2 linked regions of the Diceros bicornis minor genome follow. The protein of the gene in region 1 interacts with the protein of each later gene in a biochemical or structural test. Links are inferred from orthologs where the notes say so. Each region holds a gene or a part of one and is shown on either strand. Other genes may lie near its edges. The genes, in order: FGF2 and fibroblast growth factor-binding protein 1-like.

Evidence for each region.
Region 2: the proteins of FGF2 (region 1) and fibroblast growth factor-binding protein 1-like form a complex in vitro, tested with the Homo sapiens proteins (2 studies listed by BioGRID and IntAct, with this or other methods). The link is inferred for Diceros bicornis minor from reciprocal best matches to the Homo sapiens genes FGF2 and FGFBP1.

Annotation. Positions count from the first base shown.
Region 1 is NC_080750.1:15,950,862-15,962,953, forward strand, and holds the start of FGF2 (fibroblast growth factor 2), read left to right. Parts: upstream 1-6,438; coding exon 6,439-6,538; intron 6,539-12,092. UniProt on the Homo sapiens protein: Acts as a ligand for FGFR1, FGFR2, FGFR3 and FGFR4. Also acts as an integrin ligand which is required for FGF2 signaling. Binds to integrin ITGAV:ITGB3.
Region 2 is NC_080747.1:12,402,062-12,414,263, reverse strand, and holds fibroblast growth factor-binding protein 1-like, read left to right. Parts: upstream 1-7,283; 5' UTR 7,284-7,314; intron 7,315-9,013; 5' UTR 9,014-9,032; coding exon 9,033-9,812; 3' UTR 9,813-10,152; downstream 10,153-12,202.

The sequences.
Region 1 (12,092 bases):
GAGTAGGAATTTTCACCAAAGCTTTCCCTAAATTCTATGTGCTTCCCTAAAGACTTTAATATCAGTATTTATGCACTTCTGGGCATCAGGTTCTTTTGTAGAGAAAATATATCCATTCCACCCAAATTTTGTTTATATCTAAAATTATTTACATAGCAGTGAAATTAAATTCCCAGTATTGCTGGTTTATTTTTCTCACTCTTTTTTTCTTTGTGGACAGTTAACAATGACCAGAAAAAAAGAGAACTCATTAATTTTGTCTTAAATATTTTAATAACTTGAAACAATTTATGCCAAAGTATCTACATTTTCTCTAAAGTATGAGTTAAAGTTTCAGATATTGGCTGTATCTTTGCTTCTGAGCCAACCCAGGCTATCTTTCCAAAGCACAGGTTTTTCATCTATTGAGATGCATTTATTGATGGTACAGATGAACTTGTAAAGATTGATTAGGAGCATGGATGTCACATAATTGAAGTGTTGATTCCATGTTCTTATTACTAAAGATGAGATTTGGGATATGGTGGGGAGTAGAGATTCACCTTATGCTATATATATTTTTAAGTTTATAAAGTTAAAACAGTGTGATACTGGTATTAGACAATCAAATAGATCAATTATCGAACAGACCAATGGTGCAGAAAAATAGCTTGACAATAGACCTTATTTTATTACAAATATCTAACATGATGAAGCATTAAAATTCAACAGAAATTGGATATCCATATGCCAAAAAATGAGCTTTGATCTGTACCTTACACCTTATACAGAAATTAACTTAAAATGGATCATAGACCTAAATGTAAAACATAAAACTAAAAAACCTTTTGAAGAAAACATAGGATAAATCCTTGTGCCCTTGGGTTGTGCAAAGAATTCTTAGATATGACATGAAAAATGTGATCCATAAAAAAAAATTGATAAATTGGACTTCAAAACTAAAAGGATTTGTTCTGAAAAAGACACTGTTAAGATAATGAGAAGACAAGTCACAGACTGGGAGAAAATATTTGTAAATCACATATTTGTGCTCAGAATATGTGAATAACTCTCAAAACTCAATTAATTAATTGTAGTGATGATTACACAACTCTTTGACTATACTAAAAACCACTGAATTATACACTTTAAGTGGTGAATTGCATGGTTTGGAAGTTTTATCTCAATAAAGCTGTTATTAAGAAGTGGAGAGAGAGTTTGACTACCAAGGGGTGGCAAGAGGGAATTCTTTTTTTTTTAGAGAGAACTCTTTTCTTTTTAGGATGATGGAACTTGATTCTGGTAGTGGTTACACAATTCTATACATTTGTCAGAACTCATAGAGTTACGCATCAAAAAGAGTGAATTATACTGTATGTAAATTTAACAATAAATTTTAAAAACTTTCAAAAGGTCAATGGAGAAGTTAAGGTTTAAGAAATAAATGAGGGGCCAGCCTGGTGGTGTAGTGGTTAACTGCACGTGCTCTGCTGTGGTGGCCTGGGGTTCGGATCCCTAGCGTGTACCAGCGCACCGCTTGTCAAGCCATGCTGTGGTGGCGTCCCATATAAAGTGGAGGAAGGTGAGCACGGATGTTAGCCCAGGGCCAGTCTTCCTCAGCAAAAAAAAGAGGAGGATTGGCGACAGATGTTAACTCAGGGCTAATCTTCCTCACTAATTAATTAATTAATTAATTTAAAAAAAGGGCCGGCCCGGTGGCGTAGTGGTTGGGTGCACACACTCCGCTGCGGTGGCCCAGGGATCACGGGTTCGGATCCCAGGCACGCACTGACACACCACTTGTCGGGCCATGCTGTGGCAGCATCCCATATAAAGTGGACGAAGATGGGCAGGGATGTTAGCCCAGGGCCAGTCTTCCTCAGCAAAGAGAGGAGGATTGGCAACAGATGTTAGCTCAGGGCTAATCTCACCAAAAAAAAAGAAACTTCATTAGCTAGTTAGGAAAAAATAGTTGAGGCTGACCTTTAACCACCTACCAAAACAAATTCTGGGAGGATTGAAGAATTAAATATTTTTTGTCATAGAAAAAAAAAAAACAGATATTGCTCAAGCCTTTGGAGTAGGGAGAACTTTTTAAATTAGAAAAGATGAAGGAAGTGCTGAATGAAAGATTTATGGATCTAGCTATGTAAAAATGTAGAAATCCAGATTTCAGAAAGCCCCCAAAGTAAACAAACTGGGAAAACATATATTCAACAAATACAACAAGAAAGTGTCTTTACTATATAAAGAACTCATACAAATCAATCTAGAAATCACATAAACCTAAATTGATAAAGCATATAATTCCTATTTAATTTTGCAGTTATTGTTTTCATTTTCCTCTACTGTGGCTGTCATTGTGTTCCCTACACTTTGAAGAAGATCAAAGGAGGAAAAAGGCAATCCTCTTTCTTGTACTTCAGAAAATGTGTCAGATCTTCACCCCACCTTAACTACAGAATTATGGGTTTTTTTGTTTGTTTAATTCTTTTTTTTTTTTTAAAGAAATTCTTTTTTGGGAAGGGAATGATTGGCCCTGAGCTAACATCTGTTGCCAATCTTCCTCTCTTTTTTTTTTCCCTCCCCAAAGCTCCAGTACGTAGTTGTATATTCTAGTTGTAAGTCCTTCTAGTTCTTCTATGTGAGCTGCTGCCACAACATGGCTACTGACAGATGAGTGTTGTGGTTCCGCACCCGGGAACTGAACCCCCGCTGCTGAAGTGGAGCGTGCCGCACTTGAACCACTAGGCCGTCAGCTCTGGCTCTGTACCACTATACCTCAGTACCGTCTATGCACCGGACACTCATCCTCAGTGCCTAATTTGCACCAGCCACTACACTTATGTGCCTTCCATGGACCAGCCACTGTACCTCAGTACTTACTATGCACCATCCATTATACTGCTGTGCCTACTATGCATTAGCCACTGTACCTCAGTACCTATTATGCACCAGGAGCCATACTTCAGGGCCTTCCCTGCGCCAGCCAATTCTTTATGACAAGCTCTTTTGATTTCATTACTGACCTGTGTCAAGCACACAATAGGCAAGGCCACGGCCAAGCCCTGCCAGTTTGGGCCAGTGAAGACACAACGAGCCCTTTTTAGCTTTAGATGGTTTATTACTTACATGGACAACTAAAGGAAGAGTAGCTAAAGATGCCAGTTCCCCGTGGTCCTGGCTCCACAGACCAAAAAGGATGACATGCAACAAAAGGGCCAGATGATTGCAGAGCGAGTTGCAGTACACTCTGTGGCCAAGCAGGGAGTTCCGGGTTGCAACTAAATGGTTTTATAGCCTGACGTTCTGTCTAAGGTGGGCGAGGCAGAATGCCTCACACCTCATCAGAACCTGGGAGGCGATGAGAAACTGTCTTATGTCAGTCTCCCTGACAGACAGGGAAGCGAGTGAGACATGTCCTGGTAGCAACTCCTCACAAGCCTCCGTGCTGTGGTGTTCCAGGAAGACCGCAAGGAGGATCTGCCAAGACTTAGGACAGGCTACAGTCCAAACCTGGCCTATCTGGATATGTGCGGGGTCACGAGGGTGCCGTGGCAGAGCCGTCCCCCTACAACTTGCTGGTTACCTCCCTGATCTGCAGAAGTCACTCATCTCCTCTCATCTGCAATGAGACTTGCTCCATTTGTCCCCTTTCCTGTTTGTGAAATAAAGCTGTGTGATCCATCTGCATAGAATTTACTCACTGCCTGTTCTCCTTAGTTCACTACTTTTTTCCAAATTATCTAATATTTTCCACTATGCTACTAAGAATAAGAAGGAAAAGTATGAGTATATTCTGTATTGTATATTTCCGTGTAATAAACCACCCCAAAACTTAGCAGCTTAAACCAACAACCACTTACTATTTCTCATGATTCTGTGTGTTGGGTGGGTGCTCCTCTGCTGGTTTTGCCTGGGCATACAGCTGGGATCAGCTGGGCTAGAAGGTCCAAGATAGCCTCAGGCACGTATCTGGCAGTTGGATCTGGCTATCTCTTGGGGCAATTAGTTCTCCATTGGCCTCTCATCCTCGGTAAGCTAGACTGGCTGCCTTACATGTCCCTCTTGGGCAGCATTCCCAGAGACCCAAGGCAGAAGCTTAAGATCTAGTTTGGAAGTCACGCAACTTCACTTCTACCACATTCTTTTTGTCAAAGCAAGTGATGAGAACAGCCGAGATTCAAGGGGTGGGGAATAGATTCCTCCTCTTGATAGGATGAGTTGCAAAAAAAGCGCATGCCCGTGTTTTTCAATCTACATCAATACAAAAAGACTAGACTAACTTCCATCGAGTGAATAGGTTCATTGAAGCCCAAACAAAATATGACTTGACTTTTCATTCAGGTAAGTTAGAATGCCAATAGACTAAACATCTCCAGTTCTGGTCACTGCAATAAAATTACCGTAACACTAACAGGTCAAGGATGGAAACTACTAAAAGTTGTCATAGGCCCAGAAAATATTTGCAAGAGGAAGTAGTGATATTAAGTCTTATTTCTGCAGGCAAGGTGACCTGACAAGGATGGTTTCCAAACCTCAGAGAGTTATGCCTATTTGATTCCGAGTTTCTTTAGTTAATAATAGAATGGAGAACATCCAAAGATTTTGTTAGTTAAGGGGAATTTGCAAGTTAACTGTTTTAAGTAACTATTGGTTGGCCAACATTCACTGACAGGAGTTTGCATTTTTACCATCTACCTTGCATAACTGATGAAAGTGAAATGAGGTAATTAATGTAATGTGTGTAGTGTAATACCTGGCTCACTTTGCCTTAAAAAAATATAGTTGCTACTGTTATTGTATTCAAAGCTTCACCAAGAATTTACATTGTTTAATGGTAAGTAGACATTCTATTTGGTACTTTCTTAATATATTTTTGTGGTCAAAGTGGGTGCTCGATAAACTTGCTTTAAAAACTTTTCAAGCTGAAATTATCATTGCCATATTCTATGGGGTAAAAATTTGGAACCTCCATTTTCTATTTGTTCATATGTTGGAAATTGACCTAGCACAAATGCAACAGTCAGCTATTGCTGTGTAACAAAAAAACCACAAAAGAATCTCAGTGGCATTTAACAAAAGCATTTATTTTGCTCATGGATCTGTGAAGTGGCTAGAGACATTTTGCCTCTGACTGCAACACCTGGTTCTGCCTCATGCTACAAGTCGCAGATAGGTAGAAACAGCTCTGCTCAAAATGTGTTTATTCTGAGGCCCAGACTGAAGGGGCAGCAGCTACCTAAAGTAAGTTTATCTCATGGCAATGGCATAGGCACAAGAGAACAAGCAAAAATATGAAGGATCTCTGAAGGTCTAGGTTCAGAACTGACGTACTGTCACTTCCACCCAAGCCAATGGAATAGCCAAGTTCACCTTTAGTAGGAGGAACTACTAAGTCACAGGGAAAACTCCAAGTAACAATAAGAGGTGAAGAATTGAAGCCAATAATGCAATCTACCACAATATTGTTTAAGGACTCTTGGCCTGCTGGCAGACAGTCCCTAATCCTACCTCCGTAAAGAGACATGTCTCCTGGTTAGGCTTCTCATACTTTCTCAATAGGACACAAATCTCTTGGTTGGCTGACTGTTGAAGCTCATGATTCTATCTTTAAATAATAACGTGGGATGTCTGCCTTGTCAAAAGTTCAGAAATAATAGAAGTAAAACCAGCGAATCACTGAAGTAGTAATTAGTAAAAGTTTATTGTATACACAACAAAAAGACAGTCTGCAAACGAGGAACATTCAAACAAAAACATGAACTGAGGCTCAGGGGTGTAGTGTTATAAAGCAGTTTATATAGTGAGAAGTAGTGACTATTTATCTTCACAGTGATTGGTTATAATATTAGCATCTTCAGTGCTTACTTCATATCAACCTTGGGAAACAGTTCAAGTTTTGCTTGTAATTTCCAGAGGCATAAGCAAGAAATGACCCGGGGCAAGTTAGTCTTGCAAAATAAGCTAAATTAGGCTTCGCTTGTATGATTAAACTGGTTTTGTCTGCTCAGGGAATTTTCAAGGATGATCTCCATTTGTTTTTGATTTTAACAATTCCCCCCTTTTGGTCATTCTCTCAGCAGGCTGAGAGAATGACCAACTAGTTTAGCGTTATTCTTGGTTATGACCATTGACGTAGTCAGGCCAGAGAATCACATATTCACTGTTTCCGCTAGTTGAGTCGTCAGGCCGGAGGGCCATGTAGTCACTGTCTTTGTCATTTATGTGGTTATTATTATTATTATTATTATTTTTGCTGAGGAAGATTTGCCCTGAGCTAACATCTGTTGCCAATCTTTCTGTTTTGTTTTTTTTTTTGGCTTGAGGAAGACTAGCCCTTAGCTAACATCTGTGCCAATCCTCCTCCATTTTGTAAGTGGGTCACTGCCACAGCATGGCTGATGAGTGGTGTAGGTCCGCGCCCAGGATCCAAACCCACCAACCTGGGCTGCCAAAATGGAGCGCTCCGAACTCAATCACTATGCCACAGAGCTGGCCCCATATGTGGTTATTGCTTTCACCCTGTTGTCTGATCCTGATGGGTACCATTTGGCGTGTGAGTGGCTGCTGACAGACATTTAAAACCCTTGAGAGTATACGACGTACTAGAGGGTTAATATGACTACTATAAGGAGAACAATAGCCAAGGACTGAAAAATTCCTGAAGCAGAGATTTCTAGGAGCCAAGATTTAAACAACTAAATAAATCACATGAGTTTTGATTTTTTTAAGTTATTTACATGAACATAACATGATGTATTAGCAAACACATATCCTCATGATTACTTAGGACAAGATGAATGTGAGGATGTTTTATTTCAGGAAGTGGTGATACAGGTGAGCTTTCATTTCAATTAGGTCTCTATATGATGTGAGCAATCAGGTAATTTAGTGAGAGGCATTTCTGTGGAAACAAAAGAAAAACAAAGGTTAATAGTTGGAGCAAATTATAAACTCAGTTTCTGAGTTTGGAAAGCAGCCAGTTGAAAAGATTTCTAAATGTCAGTGTCTAAGCCTCTTCAGGTGGAGCAAGGCAAGCAGTGTCAATCTGACAGATTTTCCTGGTTTGCAGGGTGAATGTCTCTGGCCATCTTTCTGAGTGGCCGCATAGCAACAGGCACGAAGATTGTCCACACACAAGTGATGATTTCTCTGAAGTTTATATCAATATGTCCAGCTATAGCTGGCATGGCTTCTGGAAAAGGGCAGTTTTAGTTTCATAGTGATTCCAGGTTGAAAGAATGGGAGAAAATTGGAAATTTTAGTTTGGAAATTTCTAGCCAAATACTGGAGGGAACTAGAAGAATTCAGGATCCAGTCCAGGTTACAGGTAGAAAAGAAAACCTCAAAGACAATTAACAGTACTAGAATCTGATATCCACCAAGATGTATTTCTGAAATATAATTTTTCTCCTTATGATCATTCCCATTTCTATCAAAGATAACCATAGTAAGACTAATTTGTTTGCAAATTAATTCTAGTTTGAATAAACTTGGCTGATTATTTACATAAGTGCAGCAAGAATAGTGATTGACTATATAGGCTCCTTTGAATTTGCTTTGCTGGAACTTTTCATAAGGAATCTCAGAGTGGACTATCAAAAGCCTCTTGAGGCTAGGAAGCCAAGCCAAGGACTTGTCCAATTGTGTCCTGTTACAAGGAGAATAGATTCTTATTGAACTTATGCAAATACATATATTTTCATGAAAAATAAGAATATTTAATAAGAGTTTCTAAATTCTGGAGGAATCAGGTAGGAAGAAAAAGATAAATGCTTCAACTTTTGTTGCAAAGAAACACTTTACCAAGTTGCCCTGAGTTATAGATAGCTTAAAAGACAGGAGAAAAAGGGATGCTTTAAATCTGGAAAACAAAACATTACAGAATCAGCAATGTTTTAAATGAACTCATAAAAATCATAATCATCTTCATCAGTTGATTTAGTCTCCTGTAATTAATTCTTGTTTTGCTTCATCTTGGGTTAGCAACTTTATGAGTCAATCAGTTTCCCATTAGAATTCTATAAATTCTTATCCAGTTCAGTTATCAGAAGCCTGCATTTTAGAGTACTTGTCAGGATCTTTTCCATGAATCTCTTTGAAGATGAAATGCACTTCACAAGAAGATTTTTGCAAAAACATCAGAGTAAAACAATAACTGTCAGTAAATGACAAAAGACTTAAAAATGACCATGGTTAAAGATCTTGTGGGAGTTCCTTATAATGTGGTTGACAAGGAAATTTGGTTATTTCTCTGACATACACTTGAAAACAATAACTAGAATAGTGACTGATAACATTATACCAGGACATATCAGATTTTTAGGAATTTCATATAATTTCTTTAACACTTATATTAATAACATATTTATACAAATATAAACTAAAGAAAGTTTAGCATCACTTCTTATTTGACAAAGCTTCCCATGTAATTTAGCATATCAAATAAGCACAATTAGTTTAATATTTTTCTTTTATGAGGAGAGAAAACAAATCTTTTGAGATGTTCCAGGGGCCTTCTGTAAAATCCCAAAGTTAGTTCAAGATCAAAAAGACTTCATTCAGAATTTGATTTGAGGAAGTTTGTTAAAAATGTCAAAAAATTTAAAACATTTGATCAAATAGGATTATAGGTCACTGTGAAACAATACTTAGTTATCCCTTCAACTAAAGTGACAAAAGATTTCAGAGGCAAATATAGAAAGTTATATAGTTGTAAAAAACCTTAGCTCTTTTAATAGAGAAGACGATTTTTCTAATTAATCAAAGCATGATGAAGAAAACATGAAACACAGGAAATATTTTTATAAGACACAGAATCTTTGTTTCTTCAGCAGATTATATTAAAGGTAAAGGAAAACCTTTGTTTATAGTTTCTTTTTTATTTTGTTTTGTGAGGAGATCAGCCCTGTGCTAACATCTGCCAATCTTCCTCTTTTTTTGCTGATGGGCTAACATCCGTGCCCATCTTCCTCTACTTTATATGGGACGCCACCACAGCATGGCTTGGCAGGCGGTGCGTCAGTTCATGCCCGGGATCTGAACTGGCAAACCCCGGGCCGCCGCAGCAGCGGAGTACGCGCACTTAACCACTTGCGCCACCAGGCCGGCCCCAATATAGTTTCTTATTAAGAGCAGACCAATAACCTAAGAAAACTTTGTCCTTTGAACGGAAAAAAAACCAAATTCTAATTTTGCACCAGTGTACTTTTGATATTAAAACTCTCTTTTTTTCTTTCTTTTTAACTTAAATAAATCCATTCCAATCCTAGTCAACTTGACCACATATAAAATTCCTTTCTCAGGAGTTTTTTTCCACAAGAAACCTTCTACAACTTTCTATATCCATTTAGGTTTTGTCCTATCTTTTTCCTTTCTTATTCTGGAGCAATCATTTTATTTTAGGACAAAATTACTTTCTTTTTTCCTTTTTACATACACACACAAAAAACAAAACAAAAAAAAACCATGTCCTGCATACTTTTCCTTATCCAGAAAATACATTCTATTTTCCTTGCCTACTTTTCATATACAGTCATTTTCCTTCACCCTTATTATTTCTAGTAGTTTTTTTTTTTTTACATATTGACTATAAATTTTAACTACTTGTAATCTTTCCAGTGAAAACTGGGAAGTAGGCAACTGTAATCTTTCTATCATATATTAGCATCCTATAGTAGATTGGCAATTTATAAATACATTTCATAATTTCTAGAAGTGTATTTTTTTATCATAGTAAACTTTTCAATGTGGCACAAAACGTGCGTATTAGTAGACACAAATATCTTTTGTTTCTCTGTAAAAAAATTTAAAAGCCAAAATTAGATAAACTTATTGTTTAGCATTTAATATTTACCTTATTTGAAAACGATTTTGATATTCAATGAATACCCATTGTTTAGTTTAACTTAGTATAAACTTTTACCTTATTTACATTTATTTAAATTACTTGCTTTTAACAATTATGCTTGGGTTAGACATTAAACAGCTAACCATCATCTTAAGTTATTTTTGTTGTTGATAGAATTTGGAGACATGCCTGCTTCTATTAAACCAACAAACTTAAAATAGCTTTTATTTATCAAAGATTATCCCAGATCATGTGAACATAAAAACATTTGGGCTAGTTTCTGTATTTCTGAGAGTATACTTGATTTATACAAATGCTTAGTTTTCTTTAAGCCAATTAAATAGACCTCTTTACAAATTAACTTTGGCAATACCATCCAGAGGTAGAAAAATATCACATATCTGTAACATACATACAGAGACATACATAAACATACAGATAGAAACAAACAGAGATCTTATAGCTTTTGTTTAAAAAATTTTAGCCATGTCTCAGGTACAAAACTCAAAAGAATTGTTGAATCCAAATTGTGTTTCTGGCAGATGGACTAAGTTAAGGTTACCTGCTCAGATGGTCAAAGAGTTTTTTACTAAAGATTTTTTATTTGCATGCTGTAATGATTCTTTTAGAGCTTTATTTTTGGAGTCATTTTGTCTTTTAGAAGGTTGTGGATACCAATCAAAGAATGCATTCTCTTGTCTCTGAGAGGTTTGGGAATCCTCTCTTTTAAGTGTGCCCCTGAAAGTGGACTTATCTAAGTTAAAGTCTCCCAAAAGTGGCCACTATAATTCCAAAAATTCATCAATTTTCCAAAAAGGCACAAGATCTTGGTCCATAGACCAGGTGGAACCCATCTTTGCTTTAGATTCCCTAACACATCTTAACTATGAGGGTTCCTGTTTTCCAACGGCTGTTCCAAAACATAGAGAATCATGTGTTTTTCCCCTTTTGAAGAGAATAGGATGACTTACCAAGAAGCTTCAACAAACAAAGTACAAGTATGCACAATAAAGTTAGAGAGCTCAACATGCAAAGAAAGTGAAGTTTGGATCCGAGAAAGACTTACCCTCAAATTCCAGGGTCAGTGAAAAAGCAGTGAGCTCAGTGGGTTCTGTGGGTACCAGCACTTGTTTGCTCACTGGCCTCAGAGTCATTGGTGAGGAGTCTTCTTTGGATCCCACTTCTGACACCATGAAATGTCAAAAGTTCAGAAATAACATAAGTAAAACCAGTGAATCACTGAAGTAGTAATTAGTAAAAATTTATTGTACACACACCAAAAAGACAGTTTGCAAACCACAAGCACTCAAACCAAAACATGGAACAAGGCTCAGGGGTGTATTGTCACAAAGCAGCTTATGTAGTGAGAAAGCAGGGACTATTTATTCTTCACAGTGATTGGTTATAATATTAGAATTTTCAGTGGTTACTTCATATGAACCTTGGGAAACAGTTCAAATTTTGCTTGTGATTTCCAGAGGCATAAGCAAGAAATGACCCAGGGCAAGCTAGTCTTGCAAAATAAGCTAAATTAAGCTTTGCTTGTATGATTAAACTGGTTTTGTCTGCTCAAGGAATTTTCAAGGATGGTCTCCTTTTTTTTTTTTATTTTAACAACCTGTTAGTTACCTAACGGAGTATATATTTGAATACTATGCTGCCTCATAATTATAAAGTCTCAGTTTGTAAAATCATATTGTGAATGAATCATCTATTCCTCAAAATAGTCTAAATTTCATACCTGGATCAAGCCAAGTTGCAGAAAGTTTCTATGTACAGCATATCATGTCTGCCTCTTGTAAAATTGCTTGTTCTTAACCAAGCTTGGTGTTAAGCTCTCTGCCTACATTAAAAAAAGTTATAAGGAAATAGCTTACGGACCTAATCATTAATTAAGATTGACATTGGCATGCTCTACACATTCCATTTTTTGAAGAACCATGGAATAATTTTCTCTTGGCTCACAGAAACAAGAATTTTCTGAGCTCCTCCCAAAAAATTGGCTTATTTTTATCTTATCGTCACTGTTATGTAACTAATCATCTTTCCATTCTTATATTGGCCACTAGGAAGCTCCGATACAGATTTGGAAGCCATCTCTGCTGGAGCACAGAGCCTTATGCATAAGGCTCATTATGTTTCAGGCTTTAAGTGACACATTTAGCCATTTTGTTTCAGGCTTTAAGTGAGTTAATACATATTAAGTCCTTAGAAGTGCTTGACACATAGTAAGTGCTATATGTTGGTTTGCCACTTTTAT
Region 2 (12,202 bases), on another chromosome or scaffold:
TTAAGATAATCAGTAGCTTACTTGGGGGCTCACCTCTCATATGCAGCCAACCTTCCCCTTTATGAACTCTAGACACCAAGCCAATATGTTTCCTGCCTTATGTCAATCTACGGCCAGGTACCAGACAACTTCCCAATATATTCCAAGCCGTCCAGAATTATTCAGCATTGCCAGTCCTAACCTGTTTGCTCTGCCCTGCCTTTTTGTCGTGTTGAAATAGTCAAAGGGGAAGTACCTTTCCCTCAAGTAACCACAGTGAGGGCTCTGGCCTAGGCTTTCCCCTCCCTCCTGTTTCTGCCTCCTGACCAAATCAGATGATTCCCCTATGGCCCACATGGCGTGGTATACCCCCTTCTCTTGGGAAATGTAAGTCATAAACTTCTTTCAGTGCATCAGTCACTCCATCACCTCAATAAATTAAAATCCCAAGGGTATATTTTGAGACAGTCATCCTACACAACCCTTGTTTTCCATAAGTTATAAGAAACTTCCAATAAATTCTCGATTTTGTTTCTGTTGATTTCAGTTTTCTTTCTATTATTGCAATCAGAATAATCCTGATAAAAGAAAATTCAATTCAATCCAATAAATTTTTGCTAAGTATTTTCTAAGCTTCATGCTTGAGCTCTGGGCTAGAGACATCACTCCCCATAATGAGGATGGTGGCAAGCACATGAACGAACCACAGCAAGCTGACAAGTCACCTATAATAATGGTGAAGTGTGTAAAGATTTGTGAGGACACAGATGAGGAATAATGAATTCTGTTGTGGACAGCGGGAGTCAGGTAGAAGGAGAAATTACCAGGTAGATAAGGGTAGAATGGAATTTTAGGTAAAGGTGAGTTTGGCAGAGGCAATGTCTCCTGAAATGTGGGGGGAAGAGTAGACGGCCAGATGTAGCTGGAGCCCAAGGACATGTGTGTAGGGTGTGGCGGGTATTGACCTTGAAATGGCAGATCAAGAAGGGAAAGTCCTCATATGTCAGATTCAGAAATTTGAGCCTCATTCTCTAAGCAGATGAAAAATGATAAGACGCTTGAGGCTAGGAAGTGAGGAGATGTCACCACTACAGCAATCATCAGACAGTGAGCCATAGACTGTGCGGACCAGTGTTGAGGGCAAAAGCCAAATCATATTCACCTTTGCATTCCCTACGATGACTAACACTGCAGTTTGCATAGAGTGGTTACTGAATAATGATTGAATAAATACTGTTCTTTTACCTCTAGCTGTTGAGTTGTCTCTTACCTAGTTGCAGGAACCTGAGAAATTCTCTCTGCCACTGACTAAGTTAGATGTCTCCACCCTGAGTACCCAGGCTTCCCTCCAACATAGTAATTACTCGTATATGGTCATGATAGGTATCCTTGCCTTTCTCCCTATTATCTGCCATCTCTTTGAGAGCAAGGACTATGTTGCCCTGACTGCATTCTAGTCAATGACAGAAAGCCTGGGATATTAGGTGCTTCATGAGCGCTCTTTGGATGAATGGAAGAATGAATGAATGACAGACTGAGTGGTAGAATATTGTTTGTTTGTTTTGTGAGTAAGATCAGCCCTGAGCTAACATCCATGCCAATCCTCCTCTTTTTTTGCTGAGGAAGACTGGCCTTAGGCTAACATCCGTGCCCACTTCCTCCGCAGCATGGCCTGACAAGCGGTGCATCGGTGCACGCCCGGGATCTGAACCCGGGCCGCCAGCAGTGGAGCATGTGCACTTAACCGCTACACCACGGGGCCGGCCCCCTGAGTGGCAGAATGAATGAGGTCAGGTTAGAGGCTAGCCCTGTTCTTCCTAGAGCCGTCCAGTATTTTATTCCTCTGCCATCTCTATCTTCCCCTAAACAGCCCACAGCATGTGAGAGTGCTCTGCTCTCTGAATGTGGGAGCCATTTTCCCAGGTGCCTTTACAGGCTTTTCAGAGCTGTTTTCTGATGCCTTTCATCTAAACGTCTTCACCTGCTGGACAGCAGCTGCGATTCATATGCCCACGTGCATGGTGACTGGCAGCATTATCGCAGAGAAAGGGCAGCTTGTCTTCTCCCTTTTCCAGCTTCCCAGGGTGGCAACTGGCACTCTTTGTAACAAACATACAGTGGAGATGGAAAATTCCAAAGGCAGCCTCCCTAGGACTTCCTTCTGCCACAAGATACGGAGAGGTCAGTTGTACACCCATATGTGATGCTTTATCCAAAAGGAGCAGACTTCTTTAAAGGATGTCTAAGATGTTTTACAGTGATTTATTAAAAAGAACATACATGAGGACCCAGAGGTGATCAATGAACTTACCTTGTGTGGAGAGTTTGTTATAAAATAAACCAAAAAAAATTTTAAAAGAACATATAAGGCTTTGAAACAAGCCTTATTAGAGAAAAAAATCCTAACTATTATTATACGTTGATCTATTCAGAATTGCTGATATTCTACCATTTTTACCTACCAAATTACCACAAACAATAATTTCATTTAGTTTAATTTAATTAAACTCTGTGAGTTACTTTTTAGGTGGATTCAGAATCAGAACCAAGTAGTGCACACGGCTACAAACAAAATGTGTTCAATATTATGGGGTATGACACAGGGCGTTCCTTAAATAAACATAAATAGATTTTCAGGTTGCATTCACACCAAATGCTGTACCATCAACTCCTCTCTGTCTCTTATTTTTTGGAAGTAAAACTTGAGCACTGTGCATCATTTGATTTGCTATACAAGGATTCTGAAATCCCATGACTAGTGAGCATTTTAAATTTGGAATGTCAACACTCCTCAGAAGATCTAAGATGACTACTTTCTGCCACCTCATTAGATTCTAGCTGATGTTTGTTTGACCAATTTCCTCATTTTCTGACAATGAATAAGTTGTTAATGCACATCATTTGGTCCAAGAAATTAATATCAATTTGATGCAGCAACTCAGGATTTTGTCTGTACATGAGGTCACTTTTGAAGGAGGGGCTGATTTTTGACCAAGTGTGGCCTGGCAAAATGCACAGTTAAGACTCCCCTCAGAACAAAGTTGCATCCACTAATATAATCTCTGATGGCTGCACCCCCAGATGGGAACCCTCTAGGTCAAGGAACCATACGGTAGTAACACACATGAGAATAAAATCAGCTTTTGAACTTGAAATCTCCTGCCAGTGACCAGACTGCATGAGACATGCATTCAACTACCAGCCTTAACCTGTGGTGGTGACCACATGTGTTCAGACTTCCTATGGAACTCCCAAAAGGAAACCTGCTCTCCATCATGTAAATCTCTGATGAAGAGAAGAATGACATAACTCCAGTCTAATCAGGAGTAAAGGACTAGACAAATCCCAAAAGGAACACATCCTCAAAACACCTGACCAGTATACCTGAAAACCTCAAGGTCATCAAAAACAAGGAACATCTGAGAAACTGTCACAGCCAGGAGGAGCCTCAGGCATCATGACTACTAAATGTCGTGTGGAATCTTGGATGGGATGCTGGACAGAAAAGACCATTAGGGGTTGAAAACTTATGTCCACACCAAAACCTGCACATGGATGTTTATAGCAGCTTTATTGATAATTGCCAAAACATTGGAGCAAATGAGATGTCCTCCAGGAGGTGAGTGGATAAATACTCTGTACATCCAGACAATGGAATACTATTAAATGCTAAAAGGAAATGAGTTATCAAGCCATAAAAAGACATGGGAGAACTTTAAAATTGTATTATTGAGTGAAAGAAGCCAATCTGAAAAGAATAAATTCAGATTCCAACTATATGGCATTGGGAAGGCAAAACTATGGAGACAGTAGACAAAGATTGGAGATATCCAGGGATTAGGCAGGAGGGGGGGATGAATAGGTGCAGCTCAGAGGATTTTTAAGGCAGTGAAAGTACTCTGTATGATACCATCGTAGTAGAAACATGTCATTATACATTTGTCAAAACCCATAGATTGTCCAATATCAAGAGTGAACAATTATGGAAACTATGGACTTTGGGTAATTATGATGTGTCAAAGAAGGTTCATTAACTGTAATGATTGGACCATTCTGGTGGAGGATATTGATACTGCAGGCAGCTTTGTAAATGAGGGACATGGTATATAGTGGAATGCTCTGTACTTTCTGCTCAATTTTGCTGGGAACCAAAAACTGCTCTTAAAAATAAAGTCTATTAATGATTAAGAATAGAACGTAGGTAAAAAGTATGGAGGGCTGAACAAACTATGGACTTTACCTTGTAATACTATATCAATATTGCTGCAATAGTTTACAAATGCAGCATTATGATGTAAAAGGTTAACAACAGAGGAAGCTGAGTGAGGTGTGGGGCAGGAGAACTATCTTTCCAAATATTTTGTAAAGCTAATACTATTCTAATATTTAAAACATATATATTAAAGAATGATGGGGTAAGAAGGGAAAGAGAGAGCTTACAATTTATCAAAGTATGAGTAGGTTTACTTTGTTTTTAATAATAATATTAGAAGTGGCCTCCATTTAATTCTTCTCTAATTGTGTGTCAGGTGTGTGCTTAGGCCATATAAACCTCAGCTCCACATGTGCACCAAGAGGATCCAGGGGGACCTTTCCTCCTGGGATTGTTGTGAAAAAGAGTGATGAGCCTTTACATAGTCAGTTCTCCAGGAGTCAGGGATCCCCTTGGTCCTGAGAGTTTGAGGAGGCAATGGGAACCTGCTGAGAACAGTCTTGCTGGAGCTCCAAACCCTCTCTGGTTTCCCCCGTGTACTGTAGAGGTATATCATTTTCTCAGTATATCGAGATGTGAATTAATGAGGGAACACAGCCTTAGCACAATGCTGGCACATTGTAAACACTCACTGGGGTGATGGTCTATTTCTCTCCATGAATATCCAAGAAAGGGTGGGGAGCACAGGGAAGGAGCAGAGGACCAATGACACCAACAGAGAGGAGACAACATCTGAGCTGGGTCTTGAAGGATGAGCTGGTGTGTGCCTGGCAAAGTAAGACTGGAAGGGCATTCCAAGTAAGGGGAACAGCAGGAGCAGAGGCAGGAAGAAAGCAAGTGCACGAGTATTCAAGAAATGTTGGGTGAGTGGTTTACTTTGGCCAGATTACTCTGTGTGTGTGTGTGCGTGTGTGTGTGTGCGTGTCTGGAAATGAGTTTGGAATGACAGGCTGAGTCAATAAGGAAAGGGCTACACAGCCTGGTCTAATAGTATGCCCCCTGTTTGAAACAGAAAGATCAAGGCAGAAGTTGGGATGGGATCACAGGAAGGCTGAAGGTCCATGGAACCCAGTTGGGCAGTTCCATGTTCCCTGCCAAGCTTAGAGACACTTCTTAGAGAAAAGCTTAGAGAAAAGATCGTGGAGTTGACCTGTTTCCTTCTAAATTTGCTTTGCGTTCTGACCTACATCCTTCCTCCAGAAAGAATCTGGCTGCCTTCTGAGGATCAAGATAAATTTCTCATGTTTTCAGAGTCCACCTTGATCTCTATCTGCCTGTGGAACAAGAAGCTTTATCTTGCCTCTGTCCAAATAATCCCCTAAATACCACGTTGTGAGTGCCTGTGTGTGGAGGTCACAGCTTCTATGGGCTGGTGGTCGGGACAATGGGGATAGTCCTTAACTGGTCAGTTTTAAAAGAGGCTTAGAGTTTGGGGAAATGGCCTCCTGCAATGGAACTCATGAAGAGACCCTTTGAAACACCGAGTGACCCAGTCGACATCCATAGCTCTGGGACCTTGGAATTCACAAACTGGTGGACCTTGAATGGACTCCAAACACAGTAACAACTTTTGGTATCTTTATTGTGGGCCAGGGCAGTGTTTTTAAAAATTTCAGTTAGATGCCAGCCCAGTTTCATATTTACACATCTGGATGTTGAGACAACACTTAAAAGTTCATGAAGTCTCTATTTTTGTTAAAAAAATGTATATATGAATAAAAATCATAAAGTCTGACAATAATGACCCCCATGTCAACTTGTTCTCAGTCAATTGGAGCTGAGTGTTGACTTTTAGACATCAGGAACTACCCAGATTGCTGCAGTCCCCAGTGCTCCCTTTTGTCCCTGTTGCAAAGGCAAGGGTCAGTTGCCTTTTAGTATCACTTTGTGCTATTGTTTTCCGTAGAGCTGAGTTAAGAAGAAAATAACAATTTCTTGTGCCCAAATATAATGAAGAGTGAGGTGACAAAATATAATGAGGTCCACATGTTCTTTGTGGAAGTGAATCTCTTTCTATATGCTGAATATGAAAACAAAATATGCCTGTTTTTAAAGACCACATTATGAACTAAATCCAATAAGCTCTACTTTAGGTTAATAGTTCAGCCACCTCAATAGTTTAGTATGAAACCCTAAATGAGGTTCTATTGTTGTCAGCAATCTGTAGAGGAACAAGTGGAGGTTCAGAGGGGTAAAGCTCACACCCCTAAACCAATGCTGTATCCAGGCTTCCACCAGCTCATTCTGGTACCAGACTCTGTCTATAGAAGGCTGACCAGAGTGAGGTCCCCGCAAGTGACCTGAAGGTGAGTATTTTCAGCAGAAACGCCCAGATCAGGAGCTTCCTCTTTGCCAGCCTCTCAGAGCCCCAGGATTCCTCTGCCTACACAGGAACTTTAGGTGCCTCAGTGAAAACAGGGACACAGAGACTAAGACGGCTTCCCCAGCTTCAGTTGCTCACTCACCAAATGTGTCTTGAGAGTGGCAGGTAGGAGGAGATGAGATGATGGATGCAGGGAGGCCCGGGTTTAAACTCTGGGCTCCTCCTCTTCCCAGCAGGGTGACCTTGGATAAGCCCTGAATATCTCCAAGCTCCAATTTTCCTTCTGTACAATGCGGAGAATCATAGCTTCCCACATCACGGAGGGGATGTGATGAGAATGAAGGGAGAGCTTTAGGATACGTAGGCCTAGCACAGTGTTTGGCAACTATGATTATTTCTTATGCTTGTTATTACTCCTCTACTATGGATATTGCTGCTGGGGTCCTCATCCCATCAGGGAGGGTCTTTGCAAGGCTGAGCTGTCCTCCTATCCAGGCCACTGGAGGAAAAGAAGGCCTTGCAGGAAGTAAGTCTAATGCCATGCATGTACACCACCCCCCCACACACACACACAGGATTACATCAACCACTTTTCCTGCAAGAAATGCTCCTTCCAAAAGGGGTGTGGCTGAGAGGAGTGTGAAAAAAGCTCCACAGCTATGTGTGTTGTAAAAACCCTGTCTGCCTGGGCTCCTATAAAAAGGGCCTTCCCTGCCTCACACTGCAAATGAGACAGCTGCAAGCCTGCGAGCTCACTCTGGCATCTGGGATTGCACTGGATCTGCACCCTCAGGACAAGGTAAGAGCCTGGCTCTCTTAAGGGTGTAATTCCACCGCCCTTTGCCAGCTCCTTGAGGACCTCATGTTCCTGGGGTCTGGATTCCATCAGGGACATGTTGAGGCTGAGTCCCAACACCCTGAGGACCGAGTGGGTCTCTGTCTGGTATACCCAGCCTTTGTCCCACCCCTCACTTCGGGATCCCACATACCTTTCACTGTCTTCCCTTTCTCTATCCTAAGGGGAGGCCATATGCCCGGGGTGGAAATGAGATCCAGGCAATTTTCTGGGCCTGCTGGTTTGCAGACAAAATTCTGTGTTTTCTTTTAAAATGGAGCACTGATAATATGAATCATCTTATCATGAACTACACCAAACCAAACCCTGAGTAGTTCGTAGTTTTCTTATTAGCAGTCAATTTTTTCTGAAAAGTAAAGATAAAGGCATAATCCATCAGTAAGTGTTGGTCTACAGGACCAGAGAGATAAGTTCTGGCTGTCTGTCCCAGCTTTGTCACCTGCCCACTATGGGATCTCGAGCAATTTATTTACTGGTCTGAGTTTTAACTGTCATATCTGTTACCTGGGGGTGACTTACTCTTACCTACCAGGTAGGGCTCTTGAGTGGATTAAACAAGATGAGACTCAAATGCTGGTGGAGGACATAGCACATAGCAGATGTTGAATAGAAATCCTATTTCTCTTCTCCTTCCCAGCGTGTTTCTTTTTATCCCCCCCCCCCCCCGGTGAAATTCATGCAGTTTAGTGTAGCATTTTAGGTCATCCTGTTTCTTCAATAATATATTTTTAAAAGCACTGACTGAGGGCTTTCCATATGCCCAGCACTGTGTCACAACAGGACTCCAGAAATCAATTAGACACGATCCTTCCCTTCAAGCCTGCAGTCTAAATGCTCTGGTGGAAATTCACCCCTATCCCCCAGTTCACTTTGCCCAGTCAAATTGAATGACCTCCACTCCCTCATGCCTTTCCTTAGACTCTTACTGCATCCCAAATGCCCCCTCACCAACCCACCCATCTCAGAGTGTCCCACCCCATGCATGTTTAACCTGGGGTCAGACATCGCCTTTCACGTCACTTACCATGTCCTTTCTCCTCGTGTTGTGATCTGAGTCCATGTGGAACTGTGAGTTAGAAATCCAGCACACTGGAGCTAGAGGACAGTTTGCAATTATCTCATCCAACACCTTGATTTCCAGATATAGGAAGTGAGATGCAGAGGAGGAGAGTGACTTGCCCAGTATCTAGTTATAGACACAGTTGGGACAGACTTCTGGTTAATGCTGTTTAAATTCCCCCAAAGAATTGCCTCTAAGCTCTTTAAGACATGACTTACTCATTCGCCTTGAAAAAGTCCACTTCTAATCCAAAGCATAGCCTATAGTAGGTGCTCCATAAATGCTTATTGAATGACAGATGAAAGAGTGGGAAAATACAAGTTTAAATGAGTGAGTGAGAGTTAATGAGGCTGAGAGTGATGAAGGAATGAATGAAGAGTAGGAAATTTTGGACATTCAAGACTCCAGTCAATCAGAAATGTGAACAGATGGGCTGCTTGTCTAGTGATTCTACCAGCCAGAAGTATTCTTGATCTCACTGCCAGCAGGCTGGCATGTGTCCAGGTGGAGGGAGGGTCAGCCTGAAGCCTTGCCCTGCTGAACTGCTGCCCGGCACTGACTCACCTGCCTTTTGTCAAACAGGTTCCACTAAGCTGAAGCCATGAGGTTCCACAGCCTCATCCTGTTGCCCTTCCTCCTTCTGGTTGCTCAGGTGCTCTTGTTGGAGGGGAAAAAGGAAGCAAAGAACCAACATGTCAGCAAAGCCACCACAGATAAACTGCACACTCTGGGCAAGCCCCAGATTGAGCAGAGAAGCCAGCAGACCAAACGGCTTACCAAAGGCAAGTTTGTCACCAAAGACCATGCCGACTGCAGTTGGGTGGTGACTGAGCTGGGGGAGGGCATCGCCCTGAAGGTCGAGTGTACCCGACAGGACAACAAGTTTTCCTGTGTCTTTACCGGCAATCCAAGCTCGTGCCTAGAGTCGAACAACAAGAACGTCTATTGGAAACAAATTGGCCGGAGTTTGCGCTCTCAGAAGGCCATCTGTGGGGACTCCAGGAGTGTCCTGAAGACCAAGGTGTGTAGAAAGAAGTTTCCAGAATCCAATCTCAAGCTAGTGAGCTCCACTTTGATTGGGAGCAAGAGACCCAGCCAGGAGTACATGGAGCCCTCTCCCAGCAAGCAGAGCAAGGTCACTGAGGCGTCCCTCACGGAGCCTAACAAGGTCAACCAGGTTTCCTCCAGGGAGCAGCTCAAGGTCAAAGAGAACACCCTTACCAGCCTGGGGGAGACCCTACCCACGACCACCAAAAATACCGAGTGTGTGGATGACCCAGAATTAGTAAACCAGAGGAAGTCAGCCCTGGACTACTGCGGAGAGTCCTGGAGCTCTTTCTGCATGTTCTTCCTCAGCATGATACAGAGCAACACATGCTAACGAGGTCAAAACAGAACAGAGTCCACCAGGAGTTGTCACATCAAAGCTCTTCAATATGCTGTAAAGTTCTCCAAGTAAGATGAACATTTGTGCTATGAGAGTGCAGTGGAATATTTAAACAGATTTTGTAATTTTTGTTTTCGTGTTTTGGAATTTGCTTTATATTCACGTGATTTTCAGAGGTTGTTCACCAAAGTGTATGTTTCCATGGCCCACTGAGCTATATGCATATGAGCAGTGAGGACCAGTATTCGAGCTGAATGAGCCAGAGTGATTTCAGTGTGATGCACTTTCTGCTGAATTATCAAAGATAATAAAGCTCTGGTAGTCTTTCAGAAATATGTTCAACCGTTGTTTGGTTTCTCTATGTCTAGTTCCAATGATCTCATAAACGAGCCCCAAAACATCAGTGGAAAAAATAGGGAACAACTTCTTGTTCTTCACCCATCCCAAGTGATCTCCAAAAGTGACCCATTGCAGAATCTTTCTACTTTCATCCAATGTTCTGTGGTATTTGATGTTTACTGAACTGTAATAACTAGGATCCCTGATTTCAAGAGGGACACCTGGGGCGTGGTGTGATTAAGACTTTTGTCCGGATCTCACAGATGGTAAGAGGGGAGGCAGATTTGAACTCAGTAGGTCTGCAAGCCAAGTCCTAAGACTAGAGGCATGCCATTCACTGACTCAAGTCAGTGCCCATTACCACCCCCCGCCCCATGCAGGAATCCCGAGCTTGAGGAGCTCATTTCTGCCCTGGGGGAGAAGAGCCTGGGTAAGTACAGCGCCCTGTGATGAAGACTCTAATGGAAGGGGGAAAAGGCAGCATGGAAAACCAGCCAGAAGAGGTAGAAACTGCTAGAAGATCCCAGATTGAGCTTCCTAGAGGAGATGATACTGGAGCTGGATTTTGGACAGAGTATCTTTAGGTAGGAAATGGGGCAGAATGGGGCACTTTAGGCAGATGACAGCATGTGTAAAAACAAAGAAATGAGGAAATCCTAGAAGATGGAGGAGACCACGTGGCTGGAATGTGGTTGGCTGCAAGGATGACACTGCTATTAGTCATTTCCACGTTAGTATGAAGGATCTGAAATTGTTTTAGCTCAAGAGTTAGGGAGAGAGGATGATGTGTCCCCAGTGCCTTATCACAATTCCACTAAGAGCACAAAGTGCAGAGCAGGAGTTGGTAAAAGCACTGTTCTTCAGAGTCTCTGTCAGTGGCAGTGAGGAATGGCAGATGGGGTGGAAGGGTGGCATTTTACACTCACCAACATACCAGGACCTACCCTGAGGGTTGTCAGTGGCCAATCCAGAGTGTGGCAGGCTCAGAGTGACATTTGGCTGTCATCATCAATACCATCAATACTAACATTTATCTCCCACTTGTTATGTGCCAGGCACTGTGCTAAGCTCTTTCCATGGAGTATGCATGCATTCATTCATTCACTTCTTCATTCAACACATAATATTGGGCATAGACTCTGCCAGACTCTGTTCTAGGGGCTGGAGATACAGGAGGATGCTCTGCCCCATGGCACTACCAGAGAGGAAAGCGATGATAAACTCACAAGTATACAAGAGATAGAGAGGAAGAGTAAAGGAGGGGAAGTGGGTAGAAGTGATGGAGGATAACCAGTCTTAGATGAGATGGTCAGGGGAGGCCTCTCTGTGGAGGTGACTTTTGAGGCTAGACCTAATTGAAGTGAGGACTCAAGCCAGGTGACTCTCTGGGTTAAGCATATTCCAAACAGAGTGAACAGTCAACGCAAATTGCCTGAAATTAATTAATTAGTTTATTTATTACCTACTATGAGCTCCTACTATGTACCAGACACTGTTCTGGGGATAGAAAAGGGCAGCAAAAACTAAAAAAAAAAAAAAATCCCTCTCTTCCTGGTGCTTCTATTCCAATGACTGGATGCTGCTTGGTGTGTTCAGAAATATCAAAGACTGCAGCGTCTTTGTAGGACAGGGCCCAGGATCTGACTCGTGAACCTTACCCCCACTCCTAATTGAACCAACATCCCAGACCCTCCCCAACCCCCTCCTAGCCACACCTGGGGAAGGACATTTTCCCTTAAGGTCTACACAGATTGTCAGCCTTGTGACTCCTCTCCCCGACTCATACATCTCAATTCAATGTAGTCCTAAGATAGGAAAACACTGTTAAACACTTCCGGGAGTCATTAAATAATAACCTTAGTCTGGTCAGGGTGATGTAAACATTGGAGAACCGACTAGGCCAGACCCGAAGCCCTCTTAAGATCCCTTCCAGCCCAGGAAGGTGATGGATCTTCTGCTCACTCATGGCCTGTGGCCACTGGCAGAACTCAGAGGACACTTATTTCCAACATGACAGAGTCAACTGGACCTGGACTAGAGGTTTG